2 linked regions of the Canis lupus familiaris genome follow. The protein of the gene in region 1 purifies or fractionates together with the protein of each later gene. This does not show direct contact. Links are inferred from orthologs where the notes say so. Each region holds a gene or a part of one and is shown in the gene's direction. Other genes may lie near its edges.

Region 1 (5,058 bases):
AAGCTGACTTATTTTTTCGTAAGTAAGTTATATTCCTACTGGGAAAAGTTTACTAAAAATTCTCAAGAATTCAGCCATTGTTAAGTAGCCTTTAAGAATTTAAAACAATATTTATTAATGAAGGCCTCATTGTGTACTACACGGTTAAATCCGTTTCTTGTCCAATGTCATTTGAATGCTTAATATCATTTGACCTTAAAGCTAAGAAACTGACATCTTCGCAAATTCACCATTTTGCCACTAGGTGGCGAAAAAACCCAAGTAGTATCTGCCACTAAGGCTAGTACAAAATCCCAAGCACTTAAACCACTAGAATTTCCACCAGGTGTCAACCAAGAGGAGAAAAAAAAAAAAAAAAAAGACTATTTTTCCCCACTCAAATACACAAATTCATAGCTTTAAACATAACCACCTAAACTCAATTAGAGATAAATGGCTTGCCATTAGCTCTCCAAATAGTTTGCATATTTATATATAATGCTGAGGCCAAGATCACTGCCTTGTCAAATAAGGCAATTGGCCTTGTCAACTTTCCCCCAAAAGCAAGAAAACAGCAAGACCATTAAATACAGTCAAAAACCTTCTACAGTTTATGAATATATAGTTCCAGATTCTTATTTTTTTCCCTTCTACATTTCTTAGAAAGTTCTGATTGCAAAAATCTAGAAAAGATTATGCTTACACTTTGAACCCCAGTGTGATTTTATGAAAACATTGCCATTTGTTACTAAAATGTTCACAATCGAGAGATACATGTACTTGTCTTGAGACTTAGTATGAGAATTACGATGTTGAACCGTCTAAGGCTATTGGGCCTGTAAAAATTAACATTAGAACTTTACAAAACTAAGCTCTATTCATATACCAAAGCATGCTTTTTAAAAACCAGGTTACAGCCTTCACTAATTTCTAACGAAGATCTATTATGTCGTGAAAGTGATGTCAGCTAAAACACTGTGTCATGTTGCCTCGTAGAAGGTGGTACTTTTTTAGGCCGAACTCTATTTTTAATCCCCTGGACAGAGTTGTAATCATGTCATACACTGCACATCTAGCCGGAGGTGGTGTCTTTAAAAAAAAAAAAAAAAAAAAAAGTCTCTTTTCTTCCTTCTAGGAAGTGGTCAGCCTCCCCCCCCCACCCCACCCCCGCGTCATCATGCAAACAACTTTGTTGCGTTTCGTTGCTAATTAAGAGATGGAAGACAAAAACAGTTGAAGAGAAAGCAAAACCTATTGATTGAAAAACAACAACGACAACCCATTGATGAAATTCTAGTTGCTTCTGCTTCTGGCTCCTTACGGTGTCCTCTCCTCTAAGGTTTCTGTGGCCTCGCCTGAGTTCATTTCCACAACTGCCTACAACGCACTGGTCTTTAAAAAAAAAAAAAAAAGTTCAAGCCAAGAATGCTCGTGTCTACGGACATTATTTCTTGTCTGGTTTTTATTACGTCTTCTTTTGAAATTCGTTAGGTCGTGCTCAGCTCAGCAGCCGGCCGCTTGCCCAACCGGTTTCCTTCCCCCCTGCCCCCACCCGCCTTCACGCATCACTTTTTCCTCCCTCCATCCGAGCAGTGGGCCGAACCCCGCAGTGCCGGGAACGCAGGCTTCGGGCTGTGCACGCGGCAGTTTGTCCTTCCCCGGCTTTGCACACAGCCTCCCGCCCGTCCCTGGCCGCCCCCCCACCCCGAGCCCCACTGTCTCAGGATCTATTAGGGTGAGCTCGGTAAGCGGCCCCGGAGCGCACGTCGAGGGTTTACGGTAGCCCGCCTGCCAATGGGAGCCCACGATGGAGAGAAGTCAGGCCCGGCCTCCCGACAGCCCCGGAGCCTCCCTCCCGCAGCCGCGCACCTACTGTACCCGCGAGCGAGCCGGGGACGCGCCGAGAGGGCGGACAGCAGCCGCGGCGTGCGCCTGCGCACTGGGGTTGTTTTTCACAAAGCTGCTCTTAAAGTGAGCTGGCAGGCTCCAGCCGCCCGTCTTTGTAAGGAGACCACTGAGACTAGCGGGATCGTGCAGCGGCGGCGGCTCTGCTGCCCTGACTTTTTAAGAAATCTCAATGAACTATTTGTAAAGAATCACTGATCTTGCCTGCAAGCTTTTTGCACGGCAAAGACATCGATCAGTGTTAGGTGAAGATCACATTTTATATGTGATCTTGACTTTTTTTTTTTGGTCTTACATTATATTTTTATAGATTTTTTTTTGTTGTTATAAACATGGTGCTGGGAAAGGTGAAGAGTTTGACAATAAGCTTTGACTGTCTTAATGACAGCAACGTCCCTGTGTATTCTAGTGGGGATACAGTCTCAGGAAGGGTGAATTTAGAAGTTACTGGGGAAATCAGAGTAAAATCTCTTAAAATTCATGCAAGAGGGCATGCGAAAGTACGCTGGACCGAATCGAGAAACGCCGGCTCCAATACTGCCTACACGCAGAATTACACTGAAGAAGTAGAATATTTCAACCATAAAGACATCTTAATTGGACACGAAAGAGGTAAGTTTTTATATTATGGAGGACTCATTAGACCGATTTTTTCTTTGGGAAAGTGCCTTTTCAGCTTTTTCTGAATTAATGTAATTCCACTCCGGGCGTAACACATAGCAGCTTGATGAAGATTAGCAAAGTTGGAAGATCTTGGTTCTCCTTGACATTCATCGTGTGTTAAGCCGTAATGCATGCAGGCATCTGCAAAGTGACTGCAAACTGCACTTAACTACCTCTAGACCCGGCTTGGTCGGTGCCATACGCACTTGCAGTACATTTCTACCTTGCTTGTAAATTCTACTTAAATCCCATCCAGTAATTTTACTAATCAGTTTCCAAATTAATTGCTAAACCCTGCAGTCCCAATATTCCATTTTTCCCCCTTATACTCTGCAACCTCAGGTCTAGAAACTAAGCTTCAGTGGAGAAATGGAATAACATTTTTAAGTGGGTTAATAGGTGGTTTTCGCTTTTAATATTGACACGCAAAATACTTTAAAGGACTCATCGTTGTTTTTTGATCAAGGATTTCTGTGGCTTATTTTGACATATGGTATCGACACCCCACGTGTTTTTTCCTTATTCTCTCCAAATCCTTTATAAATTTACATCAAGCATTCTCTATTTTAAAGGACAGTAACCTATCATTAGGATAGGTTTCAAATCAGTTTCAGGAACCATCTCGGGTCAGTAATTTTCTTTTCCGAGTAGGATGCCTAACTTTGGAACGTGCATTCAATGAAACCCGTGCCAGTCAAATGGAATTGAAAAGTATTCGGCACATTGGATTTGATTTTTGGTTGGAAAAGGGAGATAAAGGGTTGTCAAGGGGAGAAGGGGTCCTGAGATTTCCAATCTATTGTTTAAATGGTTACATTGTGGAAATATAGGAGACTCTAAGCTTGTTTTTCTAAGTTTCCACCCTTTGTTAGAAGCGGTTCAATCCTGTTTCGGACCAGTTCTGGGGGGTGGTGAGGAGGGGCGCTTGTTCTGCTCTCAGCAGATTGGTTACACGCGTCAGGTGGTGGCGATGACTTAATTCCTAGCCCAAGAAGAATATAATGTTAAAACTGGTTATGTAATTTCATGCTTCTCTTTTTTAATGCAGTATTTAGTTCAAATGGGGCCGATTTTTCAAAAAGTACAGCACACCTTTAACCTTTTTTCATCTTAAAAACCACGTCCCCGGAGGAAGTGCTAATTGAACTAAGACAAGTGTCGAAATGAAGGATGCTTTTGAGTTACGGCACGTAATGCATTATTATTATTATTATCACTATTATTAAATACGAAGATGAAATCAGTTCTTTATATAAAGTTGGGTTTTCACAGTTGCACCTTAGCTAACCTGCATCCTGAGATAATTTCCTAGCTCCTCTTTCCAAGCAGGAACACTGATAAGAACTGCAGATGCCGAATGACAGCCTCGGTATCTGTTGGAAAGCAGACGCAGGGGTTTGCGTTTGAACCTTTCTGGACGTTGCAGCTTTTTATAAAATACATAAGAAACAAAGGTTTTGGAGGAGTTGAGGCTTGCAGCCGAGCTAGAAGTAGAATCACGACTTACGGGGACAAACGCAATTTCATTAGTTGGCTCCGTGCTTCCGTGCTAAAGAAAGCCGGGTACCCCGTACCCCCCTCCCCCCCCCCCCACGAGATGCCCCCCCTCGACCCCCGTAAAGCGTGGACGGGCTCTCTTTAGCTGGAATAGTTTCAATGACTTAAAAGTGGGACCTCTCAAACTAGCCTGGTAACTGAGGCCCCGCCCCGGGCGCCCGGCGATAGGCGGAGCCGCGTTTGTTAGCCTGTTGCTAAGGCGATGCCGCGCGCTGATTGGATTGGGCGCGGGCGGGTGGGGAGAGTGGGCGTGGCTTGGAACCGGCGTGCGCCGGCAGAGTCTCTCCGGAGCGGCCGCCCCCGCCCCCCCCCCCCCGGGTCCCCGCCGGGTCGCCCCCCGCGCCGGCCTTCCTGGGGGGCTGGGGGGGCGGAAGCCTGCGGCCTCCAGGGTCGGACGAGCCCACGGGGAGAAGCTCGCGGCGGCCTCGCAGGTGCCGCTGGGCCGCTGGGCGTGCCCGGAGCCGGCCAGCCCATCCTGAGGGAACTTGCGCGGCAGGGTTAGCCGGACCCCATTTTCCTGGCTTTTTTTTTTTTTTTTTTTTTTTTGGCTGGAAGATGTCAGGTGGCTTCTGTGAAGGCCCGTTTCCTCTCAGCTGGAACAAAGCGTGTGTGCCACCCCGAGCAGCCCCCAGGCCGGCTACCTCGCTGGGACCTGAGGGGCCAGGACGGGAAGGAAAGCCGGGTGTGTGGCTGTGGGTGGGTGGGGGCCCTCGGCGAGCGTCCTCCGACCCCCCATTGTGCGGCCCTGCCCTCCCCCCCGCCCCGGTTTCCCTCACCGTCACTGGAAAGGTGTCAGGGTGGCCCGAGCCAGATCGAACCGGTCACCGGCTGGGGCGTGGAAAGCGGAAGCGCCGCGCTGCGGCCGCCCCGCCCCCCGGCCCCAGCAGGCTAGGCTGCGCGACCGCGAGCGCGAGCGCCGCGCGACGTATGCCGTATGTATAGCGGGGCGCGCGG
Region 2 (5,034 bases), on another chromosome or scaffold:
TAAGGCATTTGTCTTGCAAAAACAATCTCTGGCTGGTCAAGGAAGTTAAAGGGAGCATTGCAGGTTAAATTTTGTTTCTGAGCTTTACTTGGACAGTAAACAACCAAGTTCACGTTTGTCCTTAAGTATTTGTTCTATTAGAGAAGACTGACAACACATTCTAAACTACTAAGTGATCTTTATATATTTCATTTGTAACCCATATTTGTGTGGTGCATACATGTGCAAAAGCATTTTCACATGTATTATTATATATTCCATTCTCACTCTGCCCAGTGGGAGTGACTTTATTCTCCACTTAGAGAAGGAGGAAATTAGGTTCTCTCTTTTTGACTTGCCTAAGGAAGGTGAGCTAGAAAGTGCTAGGACAGAGGATCTGGAACCTGAGTATTCCAATTCTGAGTTTTAGAGTCAAGAAGACCTGGGTTCACCTCCTGCCTCTGGCACTGCCTGGCCCCGTGCCCCCAGGCAAGCTATTTTTCTCTTTGAGCCCCATTTGTGAATAAAGCTAAAAATAGTGCTCCCCCCACCATGGGACTGTGGGAAGGATTAAATGGAATAATGCATGAAAAGCACATAGCAGAGTGTTCCCTAAATGTTAGCCATTGTTATGTTATTATGTAATCTACAAAGTATGTTTGGTTACACTGCATGAAATACTTTCAGTCTTTCAAAGAAGCTACTAATACATGTGAAATCAAATCCTGAAAATTAATTTCTTCTTAACAGTCAAGTCATATGCCAGATGCAAAGGATAATATTTCATGGACAAAGACCCTAGTCTGAAGGCTTGGTATGACTTTTTTTTTTTTTTTTTTAAGGAGAAATTATCTTCTGTCCTGTGGTTTCAAAACTTTCTGAATGTTAACACATTCTAATGGTCTGAGCCATATGAAACAGCCACTTTTAAAGTCAGACGCCACAGAAGAGAGGCAATTTCATATGGCTCAACCCGACAAATCAACACACTACCGGGCAGATTGAAAGCTTTTTTTTTTTTTTTTTTTTTTTTTTTTTCTAGTGGCAGCGGGATTGCTGAAGAAGATGAGGTTGAAAGGAAAATTATTCTATTTTCAACTCATTTTCATTCCCACAGATGACGAGGGAGTGCTAGCACACGCCCAAGAATTACGAATGGAAGCCCACAACCCTCTCTCCGGGTCCCCAAACCCGGGCCTGCATACCCCAGCTCCAGCTCCCAGTGAAATCCAGAGGGTGCAATCCTGTGTCTCAATGCCTGCAAATTCCCAAGGAGGGCACCCAAAGTGCTTGACAGTGAGTGTGCTAAGGAAATCGGGCCGCTGTTGAAGTCACCTCCTGTGGTCCTGCCAAATGTTTGAAAGGCAATGTGCCTCGTGTGTGTGTGTGTGTGTGTGTGTGTGTGTGTGCGCGCGCGCGCGCTCGTGTGTGTGCTGGGAAGGGGCGGGGGTGCTGTGCGCCCCAGTGAGGGGTTTGCGGTACCTGGAGGGGGTCGTCCGAGTCTGTGGCTCTCTGCCTGCCTCCACGTGAGCGCTCAGCGTCCTGTTTACCTGGTTCTGTGCTCTGGGCGCTCCTGTGTTGGCTTTCTGGCCCGGCCTCCGCTGGGCAGGGGTGACTTTGTGCGCGTGGGCTTCTGTGTGCGCGCGCACGAGTGTGCTTGGGGGGTGCGCTGGACGGGCGCGTCTCCGCAGAAGTCTGAGCCTGTCTGTCGGGGTGCGCGTGTGCCTGTCCCTGCCTGTCGCTGCTTCTTCCGAGTGCTGGGGGCCGCACAGGTAGCGGCCCCCAGGGAGCGCCAAGCCCCGGGCGCGGCGGGGGAGCTCGCCAGCCCCAGCCGCGGGCCTCGGGGGCGGCCGGGCAGCGGCGGGGCCCCGCCCGGGCCGGCCCCGCGAGCGGGCGGGAGAGCCGAGGGCCGGGCCGGGCCGGGCCGGGCCGGGCCGGGCGGGGCGGGCGGGGCGGGCGGGGCGGGGCGCTCGGGCCCTCGGGGCTGCCCGCGCGCCATTGGCGGAAAGTTGGCGCACGTCACGCGGAGGGCAGCTCCCTAAAGTCGTGCACATAACGGGCAGCGCGCACTCCGGGGCGGCTTCTCGGGGCGCAGGCTGTGGGGGCCGCGCGGGCGAGCGCAGAGCACCCCGCGAGCTGGATGCGGCTTCCCGGCGCCCGCTCGCTGCCCGCGGCGCCGCCCCCGAGGTCCGCCCGCTGAGGCGCCCGTGCGCTCACCTGCCGGCCCGCGCGCCATGGGCCAGCCCGCGAACCGCAGCGTCTTCTTGCTGGCGCCCAACGGGAGCCACGCGCCGGACCAGGGAGACTCGCAGGAGCGGAGCGAGGCGTGGGTGGTGGGCATGGGCATCGTCATGTCGCTCATCGTCCTGGCCATCGTGTTCGGGAACGTGCTGGTCATCACGGCCATCGCCAGGTTCGAGCGTCTGCAGACGGTCACCAACTACTTCATCACCTCCCTGGCCTGTGCTGACCTGGTCATGGGCCTGGCGGTGGTGCCCTTTGGGGCCAGCCACATCCTCATGAAAATGTGGACCTTCGGCAACTTCTGGTGTGAGTTTTGGACTTCCATTGACGTATTGTGCGTCACGGCCAGCATCGAGACCCTGTGCGTGATCGCGGTGGACCGCTACTTTGCCATCACCTCGCCCTTCAAGTACCAGAGCCTGCTGACCAAGAATAAGGCCCGGGTGGTCATTCTGATGGTGTGGATCGTGTCCGGCCTCACCTCCTTCTTGCCCATCCAGATGCACTGGTACCGGGCCACCCACCAGGAAGCCATCAACTGCTACGCCAAGGAGACGTGCTGTGACTTCTTCACGAACCAAGCCTATGCCATTGCCTCCTCCATCGTGTCCTTCTACCTACCCCTGGTGGTCATGGTCTTCGTCTACTCCAGGGTCTTCCAGGTGGCCCAGAGGCAGCTCCAGAAGATCGACAGATCGGAGGGCCGCTTCCATGCCCAAAACCTCAGCCAAGTGGAGCAGGATGGGCGGAGCGGGCACGGACATCGGAGGTCCTCCAAGTTCTGCTTGAAGGAACACAAGGCCCTCAAAACTCTGGGCATCATCATGGGCACTTTCACCCTGTGCTGGCTGCCCTTCTTCATCGTCAACATAGTGCATGTGATCCAGGATAACCTCATCCCTAAGGAAGTTTACATCCTCCTAAACTGGGTGGGCTACGTCAACTCTGCTTTCAATCCCCTTATCTACTGCCGGAGCCCTGACTTCAGGATTGCCTTCCAGGAGCTTCTGTGCCTGCGCAGGTCTTCCCTGAAGGCCTATGGGAATGGCTACTCCAACAACAGTAACAGCAGAAGCGACTATGCTGGGGAGCACAGTGGATGTCACCTGGGGCAGGAGAAAGACAGCGAACTGCTGTGTGAGGACCCCCCAGGCACGGAAGACCGTCAAGGTACTGTGCCTAGCGATAGCGTTGATTCGCAGGGGAGGAATTGTAGTACAAACGACTCACTGCTGTAATGCAGCTTTTCTACTTTTTATGAACCCCCTCCCCGCAACGAAACACTATACAGACTATTTAACTTGAGTGTAATAAATTTAGAATAAAATTGTATAGAGATGTGCAGGAGGAGGGACGGCCTTCTGCCTTTTTTTTTTATTTTTTTAAGCTGTAAAAAAAAGAGAAAGCATATTCGAGTGATTGTTTGTTGTACAGTTCAGTTCCTTTTTTGCATGGAACGTGTAAGTTTGTGTCTGAAGGGCTTTGGTCCCAGAGGACCTGGGGCTGCTATGTTTTGATGACTTTTCCGTGGATCTACCTCATTGATCAAGTATTAGGGGTAATATATATTGCTGCTGGTCATCTGTATGTGAAGGAGTCTTTTCTTCCTGCACCCTTGCACTGGAGGATCTTGAGTATCTCGGACCTTTCAGCTGTGAACACGGACTCTGCTGGCCCCTCTTATTTGCTCAAACAGGGTGTTGTTGTAGGCAGGGATTTGAGGGGCAGCTTCAGTTGTGTTCCTGAGCAAAGTCTAAAGTTTACAGTAAATAAATTGTTTGACCATGACTTCATTGCACCTGTTTCTCCAAAACCCCTTGACTGGAGTGTGGTCGCCTCCCCCCACTGGAAACCGCAGGTAACTATTTGTAATAAATAACTGCCCAGGGACTTAATATGGAATGATACAGGAATGGCACGCACTGATTGCTTAACCCTTTCCTTTGCCTTTGACTCTGCTGCTGCGAACCTGTATCTCTCTCAATGCCAGTGCCTCAGAGCAGTTGTGCCTGCCGTCAGCATAGCTTGTCTCCCTGGTCCTATGGTGATGATTCTGTGTTGTTACATCAGAAACACTGACTCACAGAAACGGAGTTACAGGCATCTGCTTTGTCCCTCCACGCGCCCCCACTGCTCACCTTCTAGTCCTACTTGTTTAACAGCTGCTTATGTCATATATTGGCTGCAGATCTATATATAGTGGAGATCTTCGTACTGTGTCAGGTTTGGCATTTTAAAGATAAAGGAAGAAGCTCTTATGCACAAGCTACCCAGACAGAGCCCTTGTCATTCCAAGGGAAACCGAAAAGGGCATTGGTCGTAGGGAGAAAGCTGGAAAACACTTAACCGATGAATAAATACCTCATGACCTCAAAACGAGATTGTAAACCTTCCTCCTCCTTCTGTCTCTCTTCCTCACTTCGATATAAAGCCAGCCAGGCTTCTCAGCCTTGGCACTGTTAACGTCTCGGGCCAGGTAATTTTCTGGGCGGGGGCCTGTCCTGTGCATGGTCAGATGTTCAACAGCATCTCTGGCCTCTCTACCCATCAGATGCCAGCAGCACCCCCTGAACTGTGACAACCGAAACTGTCTCCAGACCTTGCCAAATACTCCGTGAGGGGTGAAATCACCCCTGGTTGAGAACCACAGATCCAAGGTTCCAAAATCTAAACAGGGCAGCCGCTTGATTTTGCAGAGCATCCGAGAGGGATTTTCCATGGTTCACTGGGTTAGTGACAGACCCCGGGCCGGCGCTCTTCCCTCCACCCCTCCACCCTGCCATGCTGCCTTCCCAACTCACCTTCCAGCCG

The links.
Region 2: the proteins of ARRDC3 (region 1) and ADRB2 purify together in Homo sapiens (affinity purification with western blotting; 6 studies listed by BioGRID and IntAct, with this or other methods). This does not show direct contact. The link is inferred for Canis lupus familiaris from reciprocal best matches to the Homo sapiens genes ARRDC3 and ADRB2.

Annotation. Positions count from the first base shown.
Region 1 is NC_049224.1:17,821,007-17,826,064, forward strand, and holds the start of ARRDC3 (arrestin domain-containing protein 3), read left to right. Parts: upstream 1-1,876; 5' UTR 1,877-2,216; coding exon 2,217-2,496; intron 2,497-4,644; exon of another isoform or gene 4,645-4,659; coding exon of another isoform or gene 4,660-4,786; intron 4,787-4,880; exon of another isoform or gene 4,881-5,025; intron 5,026-5,058. UniProt on the Homo sapiens protein: Adapter protein that plays a role in regulating cell-surface expression of adrenergic receptors and probably also other G protein-coupled receptors.
Region 2 is NC_049225.1:60,961,461-60,966,494, reverse strand, and holds ADRB2 (beta-2 adrenergic receptor), read left to right. Parts: upstream 1-2,064; 5' UTR 2,065-2,213; coding exon 2,214-3,461; 3' UTR 3,462-4,010; downstream 4,011-5,034. UniProt on the Homo sapiens protein: Beta-adrenergic receptors mediate the catecholamine-induced activation of adenylate cyclase through the action of G proteins. The beta-2-adrenergic receptor binds epinephrine with an approximately 30-fold greater affinity than it does norepinephrine.